Tamandua tetradactyla: one gene and its partner. The protein of the gene in region 2 purifies or fractionates together with the protein of the main gene of each other region. This does not show direct contact. Links are inferred from orthologs where the notes say so. Each region holds a gene or a part of one and is shown on either strand. Other genes may lie near its edges.

Region 1 (8,003 bases), about 42 Mb from region 2:
TTGTGAAAATACTAACTTTCATGGAGAAAAAAATTTGAATCAATACCCCTAAATAGTTCTATTGAACATTAGAATACTACTCTATATGATATTGTACTGAATGTTTGTCTAAGAAAGCAATAAATCATTCTGTAGGTTCTTAAGGTAGATGTTTAGACTTATTTAAATATTGCACAAGTAAATGAAAAGAATTCAGTGTACTTTAAATGATGTGTTATTTCCCCAAAGGCAGGTCGAGTTGCAAACTGACATTAAAAACTTTGTACGTAACCACTATGAGAAGTGTGAGAATGCCTCAGATTTCAACATGGCCTATTCACCTCAAACCTCAAATCTCAATCCACCAGGAAATTTTTACCAATTAGATAAATTTTATGACCAAACTTTTAAAGGCAATTAAGATTCCAAAGAAAAACGGTTGTTTTTAATCATTAGGTGCTGCCATTTCCACTAGAGAAGTTAAAAAAAAAAACTTCCATAGATTTTCCACAAACATACCTCTAGTGGGAATGGTAGCACTAAGTGCTTGAAAATAGGCAAACTGTATTGTTTTGGACCTCGCCATTTCAGAAATTAGTCACTGGATTGGAGGTGGGGGGTTTACCTTACAAATCTCACAGTATACTTAAAGAAAAGGGTATAAGCCTTTGGAGAATACATAATCTTCACAACATATATTCACTAGAGCACAGATTTGTGTCTGTTTTGTTCACTGATATATTCCCAGCACTTATGACAGTGCCTGGCATAAACTGGTAGGCACTCGAAGAATTTTTAGGAATCCTTTACAACACGAAGTATCGTTTCCATACAAAGTTCTCATATAATCACGGGCTCAGTGGATGACAGTGCAGGATGGAGAGACGTGGGAAACCTCAGCATGGACTATCCTTTTAATTTTACAGATGGAAAACTAAGGCCCATGGAGAACAAAGATTTCTAAGATGTCAGCCGGTCAGTGACTCAACCAAGTTGAGATCCACTGTTGCCTGTCTTCCAGTTTTGTGCCCTGTGCTCAGACCTATACTCCTCTCAATGACTTTGCTAACTCTTAATGTGATGATGCCCACGCTTTGCCTACTTTATGGTGTAGCTCAATAATAACAGGGTATTGACATGATTATGTTAATTGTTAATGCCTCTAGGTACACCATAAAGGTGACAAATAATATCGGTGTGATTTTCAAATTATTTTGACAGTTACATGCCTATGGAAATTAGGCATTTCTAAACTGCCCACTAGGAAAAACTAAGTGGGGGTGTTACTTAAGGATCTTAACACATTTGATTTTGATTAACTGGATTGGGAGAATAAGAAGGCAGAAGTGGGATGATGGGATTGCTGCCTTCTATACCCTTCCCTCTCTCCAGGCCAGTGCAGAAGAGAACGCTGTCCATGTGGACTCACCGAGTTGCCTGTTTTTAGGAGTCCATATTGGAGGAGCTAAAATCTCTTTCTCTTACGAATAGTCTATAAAGCAAGACTTTCCAAACCTGTCTGCTTCTCAAATTCGACTGGGAGGGTTTGTTACAATGCAGATTCCTGGACTTCACCCACAAAGACTCCTCTTCCACGGTTATGATGGTTAGGCCAGGAATCAGTATTTTTCCTCAAGTGCATCAGGTGACTCTGATGCGCAACTGGATTTAGAAAAGCCTCATCTCTAAGGAACCCTTCAAGCCTGCCCCCTCCAATGGCTTAGCAGTCATCTATTCCTGATGCGCAACTGGATTTAGAAAAGCCTCATCTCTAAGGAACCCTTCAAGCCTGCCCCCTCCAATGGCTTAGCAGTCATCTATTCCTCATTCCCCTTCTGGTTGGCTTCTGAAATCCAACCCCCCCCACCCCCGCCCCGCCCGCCCAAATCAGCAGCCTTCCTAGCTCCACCCCTTTTGTTTCTCAGGATCCTCCCACTTCTCCCTCCCTCCATTAAAAATTTTTTTTTTGGCTTCTAGTCCTTTCTCTCCTGCTTACACTAAATACTGCATTACCTTATCATCTTGCCACATGATCCTTGTCCACCACATTCAGCTTTTATTCTTCACTGAAATCAGTTCCCTTTCTCCAATGGAGCCTCCCTGCTCATCATTCAGCTTTTCCCCGTCTGCCACACACAGTACGCGCACACACATACGAGACACATGCCACACACATACCTGACACATGCAAGTCTGCACGCGCGTGCGCACACACACCCGACAAGCCACATACAGTGTACACACACATCGCTTGTGCACACACACACGCGTGCACGCACACACAACCCCCACCATCATACACAATGCTTCTTTCTACCTGCTGCTAATCCCATCTCCCAAACCCCCACATTCCACCATGGCTACTCCCGGCGTCATTGGCCTTCGCGTCTTCTCCAAGCCTGGACCTCCCTCTTCAGCCCTCCCCACCCCCCCTTCCATTTCTCCCTCGAGACACCCTCATTTCCTTTCTCGAGCCCGACACCACCCCCTCCCTTCCAAGAATTCCCAAACCATTACCTTTGGAAACTCCCCCAACACCCCGCGTCCCACCCACGCCCGGCCTAAGCTCCACAATCTTCCTCCATGCCTCCATCTCCGCGCGAGCGGCGCGGGACCGGGATATGCGCCCTCCACAGGCCCGCCGCCCTCCCGCCCGAATCTCTCAAGCCTCCTCTGCCTGCCGGGGGAGCCGCCCCACCTACGACCGCTCTGCTCTCCTCAAGGTTCGCCCTCCCCTTCGCCTCTCCTGGGCCCTGCCCCGTGCCAGGGTCCCCTTCTTTTGTTTTCTCGCCCCTCTGCCGGCCGCCGTACCGGGCCCATAGAACTTGCGGCCTTTGGTCACGTCGAACACCTTGCCGTTGATGGCCATGAGTATGCGCGAATCCTGGACGCCGTCGAAGCGCCGCAGCTCGGCAGGGGTGAAGTCGCGCCGCTTGAGGCGGGGCAGCCGGGGCGGCTCGTCGTCGTCGCTGTCGCCGCCGGCCGCCGGCTGGTCGCCGCGTACGATCTTGTAGAGCAGGAAGATGCAGAGGCCGAGCAGCAGCAGGTTGAGCGGCGACGTGAAGATCTCGTGCAGCAGCCCGCCGCTCTCCAGGTCGCTCGGGTCGGCGCCCGTAGCCGCCACATCCTCGGCAGCCATGATCTCTGGAGCAAAGGTTGGACTGGGCTAGGTAGGGCTCTGGAACTAGCCGCTTCCTTCTCCCTCTCAGCTAGCGAGTGGCGCGGGGCGCTAGGCGGCGAGCGACCACAAGCCAGGGGCGAGGGGCGGGGCCGGAGGCGGGGCTTCCCAGCCCCGCCTCTAGCGTGGCGGTCTTGGTGCCCTGCTGGGCTCAGTCCCGCTTATGCCGGCTGGGGGGGGCGGGGGGCCCTCGTTGCCTCCGGTCCTGCTCCTCACCCCCCACCCCACCCCCACCGCCACCCCACCCCACTCCCCCGCCACTGCCCAGGCCAGATCCTGCCTCTTTTTCCGCCGATCGCAGCCCGCCCTTCGGTTCTACCTGCGAGGCCCCTGCGCGGGCCTCTCATCAGCCTCTGCCAGCTTCTATAACAGCCACGCAGCGCGCATCCCTCCCCGGCACCCCCCTCCCCCCATTGCTCCTCGCAGACCCTCCCGCTGTGAGAGCCTTGGCTTGGTAAAGCTCCGTCTGAGGCCTCCTCCCCCACCTGATGCTAGCCAAACACCGACTCCATTTCTCTTGCTTGGGGTTTTTGCCGGCTCCATTACGAAGCTTCACATCACGTCCCGGCCACCCCCAGGGAACCGCAAAGCTCTCTTTAGGAGACAAGAAACTCATTCCTCGAGCTCCCTTTTTCCACTTTAGAGACCCGGGCTACCAATTTTCACCTTGGGATCCCCGCCCCGGTTCGTTCTCTTTGACGACCCTCCCCCAGATGTTGTGGGACGGACACCCCTGGGATGACTAAAGTGGGTGTACAGGCCCTTCTGACAACTCTCCCAATATCTGGGAGAAAGAATTAGATCCCCCGATTTACTGTGGGTCAGTACTTGGGAAAACGAAATCCTTTTGCAAACTCTGATTTGCTTAAGGCTCAGCACGCAATGTTCAGTTCAGAATAATGGCCAAAGTTTCTTTGTTTGGCAGCATTTTTCTGTTTGCAATCTGTCGAGCTACCCTTGGCGGTCACAATAACCCTGAGCTGGAGTACGGAGGAAGGCAGGAGTTAGAAAGGATCCTAGCTTTCCTCCCCCTCCCTTCTTAGGTACTTCATCCGGGCTTTTGATGTGCTAACTAACTGGCTGCACAGAAGTGTGTAAGAAGGGAGGGTTGACTCTACCATCCAGAGTCCTAATCTGGCACTCCCCTTTATTGTGGCCTGGGGAGGGAGGGAGGGGGAGGGGAGCGGAAGAAAGGATAGAGAGAGGGGAAAATAATTAAAACCAAGCCATGCACACATCTGCAGCCCAGAGCAGTACTTTTCCATCAAGGGTTCTGTTCGCTTGCGCATAATTTACTCCCCCACCCAACACGCAGGAGACTCGAGGAAAGAACTGGCTCCTTAAGTCAGAATTCTAAAACCTGACTGGGCCAAACATTACTGGCAAAAGCTGCTGCTATTCCCTGCTCTCCCCCTCATCTTCGTAAAATATTTTAAAGGCATATGAACAGCGACAACGATAACTTTAAATCGGGCCTACGCAGTTTTTTTCCTCAAAGAGTTAAATTTAGAATTAGCCGAAACGGCCTTTCTAGATTTTTTGTCAAACCTCTTCAATTTAATCATGGGGAAATTGAGGCTCAAACTGAGGGCACTCGGTGTTGGGTAGAATCCATTTATCTTTTCTTAAAAACGTGTATGGCCAAAACAATTTTAAAAAACAACAAACTTGTGAAAAATAGTTTCATTTGCAACTAACTTAACAGACAACGGGCTAATATTCTATAAGAGCTTATTTTAATTGGTAAGAAATCCATAAGATTTTGTCACTAAATGGGAAGCATTGGAACAAGTAGTTCACAAAAGAGATGATACTAATGGGGAATAACTCTATAAAAAATTTTGAGTCACGCTAGTAATAAAAGGAAAAAATCGAGATACCACTTTCACTTAGAGTAGAAAAATGAAAGAAAAAAAGTATAACATGCAAAGCTGGCAAGAGAGTGGTGAGACTCTCATCACTGCTTGGGGGAAGAAGAAATTGGTATAACCTTCTGCTAGCCATAAAAAAATGTTTCTATCCATTAATCCCACTTCCAGCAAGCTACTCTTCAACCCTGTAATTACACTTCTTGGAATTCATCCCGAGAAACTACTTACAAATGCAGGCAAAGATTTCATTGCTACCATGCTCATCAGAGAATAATTTTTAATATGGAAAACCTGGAAACAACCTAAATGTTCACTTTGACTGAAATGGCTAATTAATCAATCCACTTGAATTGTTATAAAACTATAAAGTGGCATATGGTGCAGCCATACAAATATTAGTATGACATGGGAAAATGTCCTAATCGAGAGAAACAGGATACAAACCAATATACTGTATGAACTCAATTATGTAAAAAAAAAAAAAATGCATAAAAGAAAGCTTGAAAGAAAACAAGCTAAAATGTTAACTGTTGTGAATTGTTAGTATTTTCTTTGTACTTTTCTACATTTTCCACAATGAGTACATGCCACTGTTAGCCTCAGGAAAAAATGGTTTATTATTTCTCTTCTGAAAAATGTAGAACAGTAATATGTGTTCTCTATAACAAACTTAAACAATACATAAGTATATAAAGTTAAAAAAAAAAAAAAAAGAAACTCATTTTCTCCCTCTTCCCATTCCAGCTCCCAACCACTATGAACAATTTGGTTTATATTTTCTTGAAGACTTATGCAACCCCCCACACATATGCCACAGATTTTGTTTTACAAAACTGGGAAAAACTTTAAATAATACATGATTTATTAGGTTTTTCCTAATACAGAGAGACACAAAGTAAAAAATAGAATCAGGCCTATTAGCTCTAGGCCTAGATAACATCTTTGCCATTTTCAAAAGGTTATATATGTTTAAGGCTGGAAAATTCAAACTATGAAAAGATACAGAAGGCAAATTGAAGCCCCACTATTAGCAGTGGGGAAAATGGTGGAGGGCTGGGGGTGGTTTATAATTTTCATTTAGCACAGTCCAGTGTCCTTTCCATTATACCTGTGTGTCCCCTTGAAGGGGTAATGGATTAAAGGGAGTCCTGCTTCAGGGTAGACAATTTATGTGATATAAAACTTCAGAAGTGATGCCATTTGAAAATATAAAATCAGATTTGATATGAAATGAAGTGGGTTGTTAACTAACATTGGAACCTTGAGTTTGTTGAAGGTTGAAGACACCGTTCTGGTCCATGTCAGAAACAATATGCAATGGAAATGCCTCATCTAGGGTGACAGTTCTCAGCAAGGGTGCTTCTGACTTAAAAATCTTTCCCCCAGAACAAGAGAGTTATATTATACATGCTCGTGGGCTTCAAATCAATTCCTAAAGTCTAAGTAATTGACCTGAGGACTACCTATTTTCTAAGATATGGGACGTATTTTAATGTCATCTCTTTTTTAATGTTCCCAAACTTCTTGCCTCCTTAAGTTATTTTCAAAAGCTTTTAAAGAAAAATAGAACAATTGGCTGATTAGCTTGAAAATGTATGGGAAATAATGCAACCTCACTAATAATCAAATAAATCCAAAGGAAAATAATAATGAAGTTCCATTTTTTTCATCATTCAAGTTACTGGCACCTTCTTTTTCATTTGATAATCAGTTTTTAAGAATGGGTAATACTTGTCTATTGGCAAGCATATAGCAAAATGAACACTCTGACACAATGTTGACAAGAGTGAACTTGCTAGACCACAAGGGATCTTTGTTTTGTTTCACTGATGTGTTTCAAACCTCTAGATGGTGTTTGGCACATAGTAGGCACTCAACATATATTTGCTGAATTAAATTAAATTAATTGGGTACAGGCTTCCTAGAAAGCTCTTTGGCAATATGTATAAGAGCCTTGAGTTATTTATAATCTATGAACAAGGAATTTAATTTCTAGAATTTTTTTCTAGAGAAGTATTCAGAGATGTGAAGAGAGATTAGAACAGAAAAATCACAAACCTTGACATATGATAGCAAGAAACCGGAAACCGGAGCGTCCAAAAATGCTCCACTCTAACTCAGAGTAAAAGCCAAAGTCCCTACAGAGGATCTACACCATCCCACTCAGCTCAGCCATTTCACCCCAATGTTTCTTTAGGACATTAGGGCCTCATTTACCACTTCCTACCCCTGTCACTCTATTCTGGCCACAGTGGCCTCTTTGTTGTCCCTCAAACAACTGAGGTCTCTGTACTTGTGAACCCCTTTGCCTGGTAATGCTCTTCCCCAGATATCTTCATGGATCATTCTCTTACCTCTTTGAAATTTGCAATATTCACCCCCCACTCCCCAATCCCCTTCTCTACTTTATTTTTCTCCATTGCATTTACTGCTTCCTAATATACAATATCATTTATTCATTGAAAAAAATTATCTCCTCCAACTTGAATATGTTACATGAGAACAGAGATTTGTCTCATTTCCTTACTATTGTGTCCCCTGCACTTAAGATAGTACCTGACATATAATAAGTGCTCAATAAATATTCATGCAATTGAACTGAATTGGATATGGTTACACATGCACAGAAAAAAAAATTGAAGGAAATACACCAGAAAGTTAATAGTGGTTATCTCTGGGTTTTGAGAACATGGGTGATTTTTTTTCGCTTCTTTTATAGAGAGCATAAATTACTTTTATTACTGTAAAAAGCAGTAACATGTTAAGAAATTTAAAGACTACAAAACAATATTCCAAAGTTACCAATGATATCTTGACTGATAGAGCACATTTTCAATTTCAGAGACTAGAGTAGGCAGCACTTAGTGCTAAGATTTTAAAGAGACTCAAAAGGGGCCTGCCCATCTACATCCATTTGACAAACTTTTTGTGTGCTCCTGCTCCATGCTACGCTCTCGGTTGGGTGCTAGCGATGC
Region 2 (7,756 bases):
CGGCGCCCCAACCCCCTGGCAGGCGGACCCCTCTGCAAAGCAGCCATTTGGGGGGACCTGGGCCCAGGTCCCTGCTGGCACATGAGGTGGCTGGAGAGGACGCACCCTTCCCCAATGGGCCGAGGGAGCAGGGAGGCCCGGGGACTGGCAGTCTTCTGGCAGGGTCCTTCGGAATGGGCGGCCCCCCACCCCCCAAAGAAAAAAAGTAACAGTCGCAGAAGAGGCAAGTTCAGGAGCGAGGTTCCACCCGAAAGGGCGGCGGGTCAGGCCACCGAGCCTGGCCCGTAGGCACATTTAATAGGATTCCCGTGGATGTCGCAAGTGGGTGGGACAAGTTACCCCCCCCACCCCGCTTCACTACCCTGGAGGCACAATCTTCGCGTGTTCCAGGCTTCCGGCTCCGGCTTCTTTCCAGCACCCCATGAGAAGGATTGTGCTCCCCCCCCCGCCCCCCACTTATAGCTGGGTCCCCTCCCATGAGCTCCCCCCACCAAGACAGGAGGTGGGTGGGAGCAGCGGGTGGGGGTGGCAGTGGGTACGGGTGGGGACCCAGCCGCCCAGCCCTCCACCCCCACCCCCACCCCGAGGGCCTTCGGGGCCCTATGTGGGGTCCGGCTGGAAGACGCCATCGCTGGTGGGGGTGGTGAAGAAGGAGGGGGGGTCCTCGGAGGCGGCGGACCCCTGACCCCCGCTGCCCCGCTCCCGGGAGCGCCGCTCCTCCAGCCTCAGGCTGCGCTCGAAGTCGAGCAGCTGGCCCAGGAAGTTGAAGTTGGGCGACACATTGGACTTCTTCCTCTTGACCAGGTCGTAGGCGTCGCCGAGGGACAGGTGGAGCTTCTGCATGAGGTAGGCCACGGTGACAGTGACAGAGCGGCTGACGCCGGCCAGGCAGTGCACGAGCACCCCGCAGTTCTGGGACAAGGCCTCATCTGGGTGGGGAGTGGGGGGCGGGGGACAGCCAACGGCCACCGTGAGGCCAGGGCCCGGGGGGGGGTGGGGGCGCGGACTGTCGCAGGGTCGGGCCCGGGTGTCCCGCGTGGAAGCTGCCACCTGCTCCCTCTGGGGAGGGCGACTCAGCATGTCCCCCCACTCCCACCCCCCGCACCCCCGTTGCTCTGCAGCCTGGGCTGGCCGGGGCAGGGCGGGACAGGGCAGGGCGCGCTCACCGATGAACGCAATGGCTTCTGGAAAGAACTGGGACAAGTTCTGGCTCCAGTGGTCCGAGATGGGGATTTGCTTGTAGTGAAAGTCGCCGTTCTTCTCAAAGAGGTTGGGGAGGTTGGGGGTGACATTGAGGATGTAGCGGATGCCCAGCTTGGCCAGACTCTCCAAGTTGGCCGAATCCCGGGCACTGCCCAGATACAGGTTGGGCAGGATCTGGACGGGGCAGGTGGGCAGCAGGCCCGCTGGCGGGGGGGTGCTGCCCTCCGAATCCAGACCACAGCTCATGGGGCCACGGTCACCCTCGGTCTCGGTGTCTGAGCAGTCGTGGCCGAGGCACAGGCTGCCCAGCCCCACCACGGGCACCGGGCCGGCCGCCAGGGCCGTGCTGGGCCCCCCGCGGGCGTTCAGGCTGGTCTCACACAGGTGAGGGCACTCGGCCTGGAATCGGCTGAAGCCACCTGTGGGGGGGTGGGGGGGAGGGAGAGGGGGAGGGTCCTGCTGACCTGGCCCTCTGCGCAGCCGAGCAGCTGAGCCGGAGCAGCCCCCACCCCGCTGCCAACCCTGGACACCTGGGAACGTTTGCAGGTGTCCCCAAAGCTCAGTAAGAAGTACCCGGACCCACAGCAGGTGCAGGGCCACCTTTCCGCCACACCGTGGGCCTCGGTCTTGGAGGGCAAGTGCCCGCTGCAGCCTCTGGGGGACGCTCGAAGCCGGCCAGGCAGACCCACCCCAACAGACCCGTGCGCCCCAGGAGCTGATCCCAGGCAGGCGTGCGGGCTCAATGGTGTTTAGGTGGACTGGTGGCCTCAAGGAGGACAGCCGCCATCAGTTAAAGAAGAGAAAGCACTCAGCTCTGTTTCATGGCGCTTTCTGTGTGGGCAACTTCTGATCCACAGATCAAAAGCAGAAGCATCCTGGGGACAGGGGCTGGGTAACAGCCATCTCAGGGCCTCTTCAGGGACGAAGTGGGACCTCAAAGAAGGTGACTTGGAAGAGAGTGTGACATTCCACCTGAACACCTACTATTTCTCCTGGCTGGGGGCTGGAAATCTAAGGCCTTCTATATTTATATATTCTGGTGCCTTTAGAAGGGCTCATGGTATGACAGTCCTCTGACTCCTTCACAGGCAAAGAGGCAGGGACAGCTGGCTGCACGGCCCTGGGCCTTGGTGGGAGTGGGGGTGGGTGGCTCGGCAAGGAGTCAACAGGCCTCTAGCACCCTGCCTCCTCTTCTCCCCTGCCCCCCAGCCCCAGCCCTGCCAGGGCACTGGGGTGGGAGCAGGCTGCAGTGGGGGAGGCAGGTCCCTGCCCCTTTGGGCTCCGGCCTTCACAGCATCTGCGGGATGGCATCTGGCTCTGTCTCCCTGTCATCCCTTTCTCAGCAGCTGGGAGGAGGCAGGGCGACTGCACCCACACTTTGTTCTTGAGATTCCGTGGAGCTGGGACGGGTGGGCCCAAATTCTCCCCATATTCCAGATCCAGATATCAGGGCTCCAGAAGGGAAAGGACTTGCCCAAGGTTATGCTCAGCACCCCTCTCCTGGCCCCTTGCCCCCCAGCACCTTCAGCTCCCCTTGAGCCCAGATGAGGTGGGACCTACCCAAGGTCAATATCACTTATGACCGCTCCACCCCCCCACCCCCCAGGGAGGGCAAGCTCCCCGCCGGCCGCCGCCGCGCACCTACCCTGGAGGTAGTAGGCCAGGTACCCCTCCTCCCGCAGCTTCTGCAGCAGCGTGCCCAGCACCGACTCGGCCTCCCACTCCTCCGTCTCGGCCTCGGCCTCCCCGCGCCGGCGCCGACCCCCGCCCTGGTCGTACAGGAGCACCGGGGAGGGCGGCGGCGGCTGCAGCGGCGGCCCGGGCAGCAGCGCGCGCACCGACAGGCTCCCCCTCCGCAGGCGGCGCAGCAGCAGCGCGGGCAGCGCCACGCTCAGCGCCCCGCCGATGCGCGCCGACTCGTACAGCTCGCGGCTGCGGCAGTCCAGGAGCAGCAGCCGGGGCCGCGGGGGCGACAGCTCCCGGCGCAGCCACAGGCACGAGCGGCCCAGGCCCTCCATGGGCGCGCGGTTCCTGCCACGTCGGGCCACGGGAGCTGCGGAGAGAGGACAAGTCCCCGGCGTGAGCCCGCGTCCTCCGCGCGCTCCGGGGGCGCTGTGCTAAGACGGGAAGCCAACCCCGTCTCCCGCGGGCCACCTCCTGCCACTGCCTGCGCCCCTTCTCCCGCCCTTCCACTGGGAGAGGCACCCCAAGCCTGACACCCGAGGCGGCCACCTCCCGGGAAGGGAAGCGTGAGGGCCCCCCTACCCCCGGAAAGGGCAGGTTGGCCGTCCAACGGCCCCTTCAAGGGCCATAGGTCCCTCCCCGGGCCCTCGTGGGGCACCCCCAGGCAACGGCCACCGCCCTTCACAGCCCCTGCCTGAGTGTCTCCCTCCGTCTGCCCGCTATCACCCCCCCTACCCCCCGCCCCAAGTTTGAGTTGGGCTCCACGCGCCTGGGGTCGTGGGGAGAGTTCAAGGCCGAGGTCTCCCCCATGGCCGGGCGGGCCCGGGCTCAGAGGTGGCGCCGAGGTGACCGACCTCGGCGGCCCCTCGCGGAGCGGACCCGGTCCCGGTCCCCTCCCCCGGGAGGAGAGAACAAAAGGAGAGAGACCTGGAGCGCGATCGTGCAGCCGGTGGCCGCGCGCGGACGTCCTGGCCACAGCGGGGCACGGGACGCCTTCCCCGGGCAGGGAGTCCCCAGATCCCACCGCCGGGAAGGGGGCGGAACGGCGGCAGCGGCGGCGGCGCACGTGGAAGAGAGCCCTGCTTCCTGGCACCCGGACCCAGCTTCCCTGCTGCAAGCCGCTTCCTTTGGACGTGGAGTTGCCTTTCCGAGGGGCGGGCCGGGGCGGGGCCTGGGGGCGGACAGGGGAGGGCCCGGGGGGCCGGCGAGCCAACGGGTTCCAGGGAAAGCAGTCGGGTGGGCCCCGCGAGTGGCGCGCTGAGCCGGGGCTTCCACCGAGGCGGGACGGGCCCCGGGCAGGGGCCAAGGGCAGGTCAGGGGCCCAGCAGGGGACCGACTGCAGCTCCTCAGGCCGGCGCCAGCCTGGGCCCCCCCCCCCCCCCGCCCCCTTCCTCCCCACCTCCGAGGCAGGGGGAGGGGGTGGGGACGAGAGCCCTGTGCCCCTGCCCCAGAGGCTGCCTCTAACTCAACTGGCTAGGTGACTCTTGGCCATTCTGTCGCCTGCCTGGACATCCTGGCTTCAGCCTGGTGGGCTGGCCCAGAAACCCACTGCCAGCTTCCTGCTCAGAGCTGTATCCCAGGCTGATTTCATGGGGACAGGCCTGGCCCAAGAACAGGGCACCCAGGAGCTCTGAGCTCCCAGCTCCAAACATTCCACCCTCTGCTCTTAGCACATTACTTGTCTCCCCCTGCCCTCCACTTTGTCACCCAGCATTCTCGCCCAGGCCAGGAGCCTAGGAGTCACCCCAGGCTCCTTGCTCTGCTTCCTCCCTTGAACTCCCCAGCTCCCATCAAATCAAGGGGTGGTGGTGGAAGTAGATTTTACTTAAAGTTTTCTCTTGGATTCCTCTGTACTCCCCCTCGTCCCTGCACTGCTCGAGGGCTGGAATGGACCAGCTCTCGCCCAGGTCACCGCTAGCCTGCCCCAGAATGCATCCATTTGTGGAGCCAAGCCCAGTGGCCTCCATGGTGCTCACATCACATCATAGGGTGATACACTTGGACTCACAGGGTCCTTGCTCATGTGGCGCTCAGCTTCCTGGGACAGATAAGCCATAGACAAGGACGCGGGGAGCTAGCAGAGGGATGGGATAAAGGCCAGGACAGCGGGACAGGTAGCATGATTGGGGCACCTTTCCAAAGCGGTGAGCTGGCTGTGTCCCTTCTTGGCTGAAAATCTACCAAAAGCAAAGAGTAGTGTTGGAGCAAAATGTGCAGCACAAAACACAAAGCTCAGGTGAGTTAACAAACAGGTTAAGACCCTGACAGACCAGCAGGGAACAAGAAGCTATTGCCTAAAGGGGGAAATGCAACTGGTTAAAAGGTATTTGGGGGAAATGTTCAACCTCAGGCAAGGGAGGAAAAACAAAAGAGAGCAAAACAAAATACCCAAACCAAAGAACAAGGTAACACTTCCCACCTGATACAACAGTAAAATATTTTCAAAATGGGAACATGCAGTGCTAGCAAGGGTGCTGTGAAATTGGCATGCTGCTGTATTGCTGGTAGCATGATACATGGGCAAAGCCCTTTTGGAAATTAACTTGGCAATTTGTATCAAGAGTAAACAGAGCAGTTAAATCCAGTCCCTTATGTGCACGAAGAGACTGGTGTCATGAACTTCAGGGTAAGGTGAGAAAATGCTTGTGAGGTAATGCTGGGTAGAAGAAAGCAGGGTACAGAAAGCCAGGACACCTCTAGGTAACCCAGTTCCCCACCCCCACCACCACCACCCAAGGGGCCTCCAGCCACTGACCCAGTTCCCTGAGGCTGCCTTTCCCGGGAGCCTACAGACTTGGAGGGACAGGGGCCACAGCCGGGCCCACTGCCCCCTTCTACCTTCTCATCCTAGCAGGGGGATAAAGGTGGGCAACCGCTGCCATCTGGCAAGGATGCCCATCCTGGAGGGTCTGCTGCAGCTGTGTGCGGGACCTCGGAGTGGGCGGGCAGCCTTGGAACCTGGGTGGGCGAGGGGGGTCACCGAGGAGGGTCTCCAATGTGCCAAGCTTGGGTGCGTGGGACTGGAGCTCAGACAGGCTGTGGGCAGTGTGGGGTGGGGGGGGCACAGGCTGGAACGTACACGGAGCTGGAAGACACCTACGGAGCAGCCAGGCCAGCCATGGGACTTAGTGTGTTTGCAGAGAGGGTCCCAACTTGCGGGGAAAAGGAGTTCCTGAAATGCCCAGGCGTGCCCTCCGGAGAGGGAGCCACCTCCGCGATGGCGAAGGAAAGGGACGCCAAGGCTCCAAGAGCCCCGCACCCCATCCCTCAGTGCCGGGGCCCGTGTCTCCCAGCACCTCCTGAGCGGCTCCCGCGCCCCTTGGTCCAGACCCGCGCTGGCGAGCCCTCGGACCGTGCAGCCCGGGAGAAAGCGCTCGGGAGCGGGGTGGGGTGGGGGGGATTCAATCTCGAAATTGAGCGCTCAGTGCCCGGCGCCAGCAGCGCCCGCCGCGCCAGCAGCAGGACAAACGGGAACCTGTTGCCACCTCCGCACTGCAGGGCCCAGCGCGGCCAAGCCCCGCTCCCCCGACCCTCGCCTGGCCCTCCCCCCATCGGGCCCCCTGCAGCGCCTGCTCTGGGCGCCGGCCCCGCCCCGCAGCCGCTCCCCGGGCGGGCTCTGGGGGTGGGGGTGGGGGTGGCGTCGCCAGGCCCTCTCCAGCGGGCGGAGCCAGGCTGCGGGCTGCGCGCTCGCCACTCTCCGCAGGGTGGGCGCTGCGCCCTCCGCCCCCGCCCTCCCCGGCGTCCTGGCGCGGGCAAGGCCCACCGGGGAGAACCCCCGTCTCCGCCCGGCCCGGCCAGCGCCCCCTGGAGGCCGCAGCGGTGCCGCCACCCGCAGGCTCCGCGCGCGCCGCGTGCGCCCTCCAGTCCCCGGAGTCTCCGGAGACCGGCGCCGCCCCCCACCCCCCGAAATGCATCGCTCCCCGGGGCCAAGCGGCAGGATTTCGGCTGTCGCGGCCGGGTCACATGGCCAGGAGCACAACTCCCAGCGACAGCGCTCCTGCCAAACCCAGTCTCTTTTCCACCAAATGCACTTTCTGCCGGGGCCTGCTTTCTGGGTTTCCCGGTCTGGCTCCTGGCGGGACTGGGAGTTCCTCCAAGGCGGCCCCGGGCTGGCCCGGGTCCCCAGTCCCCAGTCCCGGCCGGACACACGCCCGGCGCTCGCGGATGAAATGCTCGTTGACAAAGAAGGCAGGAGTGAATGTAACCAATTGTAGAGCGAGGGAGCCCGGGAGAGTGCCGTTCTTGTGGCTTGCCTTGCCCACCCCACCCCCCAGCACGCACCAGCACACGTGCACACACCGCCCTCCCCGCAGCCCACACGCACACGGGCACACGAACGGTGTACGCGCACTCCAGCCCTCACGCAACCGACCTACTACGTGCGGGTCGGGCAGCTGGCGCCCCTTTGGTGCATTTCAGCGCCGGCTTCCCTCTGCCACCTCGCGGAGCCCCTTCCCCGGGGGCCCCGCCCCCGCGCATCTAGGTACCGTACCTTGGGTCCCAAATACCTTCTGTCCTTTTAGGGAAGAGGGTGGGCCAGTCGCTGGGAAGTCTCAAGGTCTGTGTAGAGAGGCACCTGGGGGTCCCCAGGCTGGGAGTCGCTGCCAAAGGAGAGCTAGAGGAGGCTGGCAGAGAAGCCACCCTATGCTACAGACGCTAGGGCTGCTGTGCCAGGTGTCGGGGAGGAGTGGTGGGAGGGGCCCGGGGAGGGGCTGGGGGGGATACTGGGGGCTATTTGCGATGGGGGCGGGGCAGGTGGTGGAGAACATGCAATCGGCAGGTGTGCGGGCATGTTGGGGTGCGTGAGTGGGTGTCGAAGAAGCGGAGGTGTGTGCCGGGGGCGTGTGCCTGCCTGCGGGGGGAGTGTCCG

Evidence for each region.
Region 1: the proteins of DUSP9 (region 2) and PGRMC1 purify together in Homo sapiens (affinity purification with mass spectrometry; 3 studies listed by BioGRID). This does not show direct contact. The link is inferred for Tamandua tetradactyla from reciprocal best matches to the Homo sapiens genes DUSP9 and PGRMC1.

Annotation. Positions count from the first base shown.
Region 1 is NC_135353.1:47,765,788-47,773,790, forward strand, and holds the start of PGRMC1 (membrane-associated progesterone receptor component 1), read right to left. Parts: upstream 3,234-8,003; 5' UTR 3,119-3,233; coding exon 2,791-3,118; intron 1-2,790. UniProt on the Homo sapiens protein: Component of a progesterone-binding protein complex. Binds progesterone. Has many reported cellular functions (heme homeostasis, interaction with CYPs). Required for the maintenance of uterine histoarchitecture and normal female reproductive lifespan.
Region 2 is NC_135353.1:5,850,826-5,858,581, reverse strand, and holds the start of DUSP9 (dual specificity protein phosphatase 9), read right to left. Parts: upstream 3,228-7,756; 5' UTR 3,222-3,227; coding exon 2,849-3,221; intron 1,623-2,848; coding exon 1,167-1,622; intron 930-1,166; coding exon 601-929; 3' UTR 1-600. UniProt on the Homo sapiens protein: Inactivates MAP kinases. Has a specificity for the ERK family.